2 linked regions of the Ovis aries genome follow. The protein of the gene in region 1 purifies or fractionates together with the protein of each later gene. This does not show direct contact. Links are inferred from orthologs where the notes say so. Each region holds a gene or a part of one and is shown in the gene's direction. Other genes may lie near its edges. The genes, in order: U2SURP and SF3A2.

Region 1 (3,818 bases):
AACTGACTTCTGCTTTGATTGAAATTGGTTTCATTTTTGAATCAAGAACTTGACTGAAGAAATCTTTCCCATGTAGTTTTGTTTTCCTTCTGCCAGGGAAATGTAGGTTAATTGACACAAATTATCAACAGGTTGAAATGTAAATGAATGACAAGTTTTATTCCTGCCAAAGTCATGGTTGTGGTGATACTGAATTTCTTAAAACTCTTCAAATTAGTTATAATTAAATCATAGCTAAACATTGTCCTTATGCTGTTGATTCAAAAAATTCAATGTGGAGTTTTTGTTAGCTACATTATTTGCTGTTGGTTTTCAGTTTTAATCCATTTTATGCTATCTTTTGGTATTCTAGATTGCCAGATTATATTTGGTTTCTGATGTTTTATACAACTCTTCAGCCAAAGTTGCCAATGCTTCCTATTATAGAAAATTGTAAGTATAGTGATATAAGGTGATACGCCTAAAATAAAATATTTAAGGGTAAGAAGCTCAGAAAAGAGTATAGTATAACTCTTGCTCAGTTCCCGACATTTCCTTTTTGGTGTTTATTTTATGAATCAGGGAGGCTTTTAAGAACTGGCTCTGAAGGGAAATTTGGAGATAATCAACCCTAATCTTAGCTCTGCTATTCCTTTTTCTGCCTTGGACAAGTCACTTAAATTTTCTGTTCCCTATTTTATGGAACAAAGAGGTTGGACTAGATGCCCCAAAGTAACCTAGATGTAAAATTCCTTATTAATCAAGGGAACTAGTTCTTAAGACTCTTTGGGAGCTTTTGCAGAAGAAAAATTCAGAATAATAGGAGTTAAAGTAACATATTATTTGAATTTCAGTTTTGAAACAAAGTTGTGTCAGATATTTTCAGACCTCAATGCTACCTATCGTACAATTCAAGGCCATTTACAGTCTGAAAACTTTAAGGTACGTTTATTGTTTGGTTATTTTTGCCCTAGTGTTTTAAATGGGACATGGGGGCTGGGAACCACATTGGAGAGCTAAGAGTATGTAAGATAACTGTAAGACATAACTTAGATGTTTTACAAATTATTGGTTTAAAATTTACCACCATTTTACCTTCAGTATCAGAAAAAGTCTGAAATTTTAAAATATGTGTAGTGTTTTGGGTGTCTGGTTTATTTTTAAACATTTTAATAAAATAGTCTTTTCACAGAAAATATTCAGAAGATCGCTTGTTTTGTAGTAGTATATATAATTTGGTTGGATTAGAAATACACATTTTAGTTATCCATGTTTAGAAAGTATATTCAGCTATTAATTTTTAAAATAAACTCTGAAGTTATAGACCAATGTTAAGAAAGGCCAAACAAAATACCTTACTTACAGATAAAAAAAATAAATATACTTCCGTGGGCAGAACACTCATTAAGGAAATTTTTAGCTTGGGCAGATCCCCAATGACTCCACCATTTAGGGGAGTCAAACTAACAACTCCATTAAAATTTTTTTATCTTAAATTTTGACCATAAGACAGAGATTATAGAAAAGTTTAAGGATGGGACAGAGAGAGGTATTAATCTGACTCGGGAAGTATTTCATCAGACCATAAAGGAGTTCAGATCAGAACTTGGCTACACTTGTATCCAGCTTTCATTAGTTTCTAGGCTAGTGTTTCGCAGAATGTGTACCATTCTGAGAGGGAACTTGAGCTTAGGTGACCAAGAGCAAGCAGTTAACTGTTTTTTTAAAAAAATATTTATTCTTAGTGTCTTTCCTCTTTTAATTGAGAGGTAACATTGATTAAAAAAAACTAATGATAAAAAATATTGTAATGATAGTTCTTTTCCTTAAATTTTAAAAACAATATTGCTTTAAAGGAAAATTGTGATGGAAATTCAGCAAATTGTGATGGTCATTATCATGAGATGACGTTTGATACATATTGTCCTGAATAATAATTCACTGTCTTTTTCCTTTTAGCAACGGGTAATGACCTGCTTTAGAGCGTGGGAAGATTGGGCAATTTATCCAGAACCATTTTTGATCAAACTACAAAATATTTTCTTAGGACTTGTAAATATTATTGAAGAAAAGGAAGCAGAGGTATGTATTCACTGTATTTGTCTGATTATCTTAAAATTTATTTCTGGGGATGCTTTGGAGGTACAGATATGAGTAACATTTCTTTGTAGAAAATATGTACTGTTTACCACAAAATAGTGGATATTTGTTGCTGGAATTGTTGGAGCCCAGGAGTTGAAATTATATATAACAGGAATTCTCTGTTTTGTATCCTTATGTAAAAATTGATGATTGGTGTTTTATTTGATGACATGAAAACATTTATTGTATATTAGTAGAAGAAAGAAAAAAAAGCAAGTAATAAAGCGAAATATGCAGCACAATTTCATGTTGTTAAACTGAAGATACCTATGTAAGTAAATATGTACCTGAAAAGATGTGTACCACAGTGGTAGCAGATTCTGTTCATCACCCTTCTGGTTTGTTTTTTTTTTTAAGCCTCCTCAATAGTTCTTGAATCCTTCGTCTTCATTTTCACCATCCTAATCCATCTATCATGTTTTCGCTTTCACTTCTACAAGATACTCCTGATTTGCTTCCCTACTTGAACCACATGGTCCTTGTTTCAGTTTCTTAAATATCAATGTTTTCTCCTACCAAAGACCTTTATACATGTTCTTTCCTCTTCTTGGAACATCTCTTGTCTCAGACCCTTTAGATCTCAGTTTGAGCATAAGTTCATTGAGCTTTCTCTGACCTCTTTAGGTAGAACCTACATACTATACATTCTAATAATACAGTGCACCTCTTTGTTGTATAAGTCATCCTACACTTTTGTGATTATCTGGTTGCCTGGCTCCTTCTCCACTCCCCTGCCCCCTCCGCCTCTCAAGTTCTGCTGAGCTCTATGACAGGAGGGACTAAGGGACCAAAGCTCATTTTCACTCATTATTGTATTCTTAGTGCCTCATATGATACCTGGCATCATTAAGTATTGGTAAATATTTGATAAATATTGTACAGATGACTACTTTTTTGTCAGACTGGATGATAAGAATATATTATTCTTATATCTGCATTTTGTACCTGGGAATGTGAATCTCCAGCTGTTTGGTTTATGTTGTTGTTGTTTAGTTGCTTTGCTAAGTCCTATCCAGCTGTTTTTTTGACCCCATGGACTGTAGCTCCTCTGTCCATGGGATTTCCCAGGCAAGAATACTGGAGAGCCTTGCCATTTCCTCCTCTAGGGAAAGTTCCTGACCTAGGGATCAAATCTACATTGCCTGCATTAGCAGGTGGATTCTTTACCTTTGAGCCACCAGGGAAGCCCACTTGGTTTATACAGGATTGCAGTTAATGTTTCAGTGATAAGACTTTAGCATGCAAAAGAACATATTACAATCAGTTCAGTTCAGTCGCTCAGTTGTGTCCGACTCTTTGCGACCCCATGAATCGGAGCACGCCAGGCCTCCCTGTCCATCACCAGTTCCCGGAGTTCACTCAACTCATGTCCATCGAGTCAGTGATGCCATCTAGCCATCTCATCCTCTGTTGTCCCCTTCTCCTCCTGCCCCCAATCCCTCCCAGCATCAGAGTCTTTTCCAATGAGTCAACTCTTCACATGAGGTGGCCAGAGTATTGGAGTTTCGGCTTTAGCATCAGTCCTTCCAAAGAACACCCAGGACTGATCTCCTTTAGAATGGACTGGTTGGATCTCCTTGCAGTCCAAGGGACTCTCAAGAGTCTTCTCCAACACCACAGTTCAAAAGCATCAATTCTTTAGCTCTCAGCCTTCTTCACAGTCCAACTCTCACATCCATACGTGACTACTGAAAAAA
Region 2 (3,423 bases), on another chromosome or scaffold:
GGCCTGTGAGGAGGGGCCTCAACACTGTGTCCGTCCCACCTGCAGGGCCCGGCGAGCAGCCAAGGAGGCCAAGGAGGCCCCCGCCCAGCCAGCACCGGAGAAGGTCAAGGTAGAAGTGAAGAAGTTTGTGAAGATCGGCCGCCCAGGCTACAAAGGTAATTGTCGATGCCCTGGGTGGGCAGTCCCTCACCCACCTCCAGCTTCACCAGTGGCCTCAGCTTCCATTAGAGGCTTCCTGCCCTGAGGGCGGGGGCCTTAGTGTCTCCTCTGCTCTTTATACTCCTAGCAGAGGTGGGTGCGAGGGTGGGAGGGGACTGCAGGCCCTGGTGTAGTCCTTTCCTCTGACCTTAGAACTGGGTGCTGGTGCCTTTTCACATGGAGAGAGAGTAAAGGAAAGAGGAGGCTTACCTGGGCCAGCAGCTGCAGAGGATCGGGTTGCCAGGGAGGAGGGGAAGGCAGGCCTCCTTGCAGGTGTTCTTGCTGAAGTGGGCACACCCTGTGTATGACTGGCGTTTCAGACAAGACATGGCTTGGGAAGGCCCTGGAGTGGTCCAGCTTGGTGAGCCAGGGCGAGGATGGCACTACCCCCAGGGAGGCCACCACAGGCCTTTTGGTCAGTCTGGGTCATCTGGCCTCTTCCTGGCTGTGTCAGGGAGACACTAAGTGCCTGAGGGCGCATATGAAGGGCCCCGGAGCTGTGTGGAGAGCAGCCCAAAGCCACAGAGCTAGACTGTGATGGGCACCCGCTCCCAGAAGGTCTGGTGGAGGAGGGTGGGCAGTGGGGAGCCCACCCTCTGCCCCCACCCAAGTGATATCAGGCAGGTGGCACCTGGGGCACAGCCCTCCCACCCTTGGGCCAATGACTGCTAGTTGCCCAGCAGGGTGACCTCCCCCCACTTGCCAAGCCAGCTCTCCCATTCGTGGGTGACATTAGGCCAGTCCTAGGACCCCGTTACTGGACCTGACATCCTCCTGTGTTGCAGTAACCAAGCAGAGAGATACAGAGATGGGCCAGCAGAGCCTCCTTTTCCAGGTGAGCAAAGGCCGGGAACCCTTTGTCCTGAGGGGAGGGGCCCCTGAGAGGCAGTGCTGTCACTGGCCGTGTCCCTGCAGATCGACTACCCTGAGATTGCCGAGGGCATCATGCCCCGACACCGCTTCATGTCTGCCTACGAGCAGAGGATCGAGCCCCCGGACCGGCGCTGGCAGTACCTACTCATGGCCGCTGAGCCCTATGAGACCATCGCCTTCAAGGTAGTTTGCTGGGACCCCGGAGGGTCCTGCAGGGTCTGCTCCATCCAAGCAGCTGGCCCCAGCCCACACCAGGCGCCCCCTCTGGGCCCTTGCCTCCTGAGGGTTGTCAGAAGACGATGCAGAGTGAGGGCAGGGGCTGGGTGTCCACCGTGAATCAGACCCTGGCATGGCCCTAGCAGTGAGGTGGCCCTGTTACCAGGCTGTGCAGGACTCTGACCTGGTCCAATTCTCAGATACATGTTAACGAGACAGGGTAGGTTGCAGCTTCCCTGGGTGGCAGGGCTGCTAAGCAGTGGAGCAAGAATGCCAGCTGTCACCCCCACGTCAGACCCTGTTCCCTCATAGAAGGGCCTCCTGGGCCAGGCCATTTCATGGTCCTGAGGGCCTGTCTGCCCCTCTACCCCGCACAGGTGCCAAGCAGGGAAATAGACAAGGCTGAAGGCAAGTTCTGGACTCACTGGAACCGGGAAACCAAGCAAGTGAGTCAGTCCATGTCCATGCAGTTCCCCATCCTTCTCCCACCCCAAGGCCTCTGGGACCCTACTCAGTTTTTCCTGTCTGTCCAGTTTTTCCTCCAGTTCCACTTCAAGATGGAGAAGCCACCAGCCCCACCGAGCCTTCCTGCTGGGCCTCCTGGGGTGAAACGGCCCCCACCCCCACTGATGAACGGCCTGCCCCCTCGCCCGCCACTACCAGAGTCGCTGCCTCCGCCCCCACCAGGAGGCCTGCCCCTGCCACCGATGCCGCCCAGTGGGCCTGCACCCTCAGGGCCCCCAGGCCCTCCTCAGCTGCCCCCACCGGCTCCTGGGGTCCACCCACCAGCACCGGTGGTCCACCCACCAGCCTCTGGGGTGCATCCCCCTGCTCCTGGGGTCCATCCCCCAGCTCCTGGGGTCCACCCCCCGGCACCAGTGGTTCACCCACCAGCATCTGGGGTCCACCCCCCTGCTCCAGGGGTCCACCCTCCAGCCCCAGGAGTCCACCCTCCTGCTCCGGGAGTCCACCCTCCAGCCCCAGGGGTCCATCCTCCCCCATCTGCTGGTGTTCACCCCCAGGCACCAGTGGTGCACCCACCAGCTCCTGCAGTTCACCCCCAGGCTCCGGGGGTGCACCCGACTCCTGCCGTTCACCCCCAGGCTCCAGGGGTCCACCCACCAGCTCCTGGGGTCCACCCACCAGCCCCTGGGATCCACCCCCAGCCTCCTGGGGTCCACCCCCCTCCTCCTGGGGTCCATCCTCCGGCTCCTGGGGTCCATCCTCAGCCACCTGGGGTGCACCCCTCAAATCCTGGGGTGCACCCCCCAACGCCCATGCCCCCGATGCTGAGGCCTCCACTGCCCTCCGAAGGCCCTGGGAACATTCCTCCCCCTCCCCCCACCAACTGAAAAGCCACCCCCATCCTAGCAAGTCTGGTTTGGTTTTCCTGGGTTTCGCCCTCAGAGTAGAGTTCTTTTGTACTGGGCTGGGTGTCCTCAGAGCTCATTAAAGAGTCTGCTGACCCTGAACTGGACTGCTGTGTTAACCTGTGGGCGGTCAGCTTGCTGTGGGTGAACACACGTGACTGCTTTCCACCACCATAGGGGGTGTCAGGGTCCCACCTGGACCACAGGGGGTGGCCCCTGCTGTCTCTGCAAGGACAGACCCTGTGGGCCAGCAGAATGTGGGGTGGTTCTCTGGGAAGACAGCAGAGCGAAGAAGGCTGCTCACTCTCCTTGGGGGTCTCTGTGGGCCTCAGAGGTAGGGTGAGCGAGCACGTGGGGTCACTGGGGGACAGACCTGCCTACCCGATGTGAAGCGTCATCCCCCTTGGGGCTGGCACCTGAATCCTCCTGGGGCAGGGGCTCCACACCTTGCCCTCCAACACCCCCAGGTTGTTGATAGTCTGACTGTCTGGGGCATGCACTCCTGCTCACATTCCTGCTCTGGGGAGGGGAAAGATTTGTCAAGGACAGTCTGACAAATGGGTCACAGGCCACACACACTGTATCACTGCTCAGGAGATAGACAGGCAGGTTGGAACAGAGGGGGCTTTGAGAAGGCCACAGGCCTCCCAGGCTCGCAGCAGGCACCAGTCTCCAAGGTCATGTCCCAGGAGGAGATAGGGACTGCCCTGTACCACAAACAGCCCTGCTCCCCTTATAAAGTAGGGCAGCGCAGCCCCTGGAAGCT

The links.
Region 2: the proteins of U2SURP (region 1) and SF3A2 purify together in Homo sapiens (affinity purification with mass spectrometry; 3 studies listed by BioGRID, with this or other methods). This does not show direct contact. The link is inferred for Ovis aries from reciprocal best matches to the Homo sapiens genes U2SURP and SF3A2.

The regions. Positions count from the first base shown.
Region 1 is NC_056054.1:246,592,444-246,596,261, reverse strand, and holds part of U2SURP (U2 snRNP-associated SURP motif-containing protein), read left to right. Parts: intron 1-352; coding exon 353-432; intron 433-833; coding exon 834-921; intron 922-1,938; coding exon 1,939-2,061; intron 2,062-3,818.
Region 2 is NC_056058.1:19,189,412-19,192,834, forward strand, and holds the end of SF3A2 (splicing factor 3A subunit 2), read left to right. Parts: intron 1-45; coding exon 46-155; intron 156-983; coding exon 984-1,033; intron 1,034-1,113; coding exon 1,114-1,254; intron 1,255-1,664; coding exon 1,665-1,733; intron 1,734-1,820; coding exon 1,821-2,639; 3' UTR 2,640-2,759; downstream 2,760-3,423. UniProt on the Homo sapiens protein: Component of the 17S U2 SnRNP complex of the spliceosome, a large ribonucleoprotein complex that removes introns from transcribed pre-mRNAs.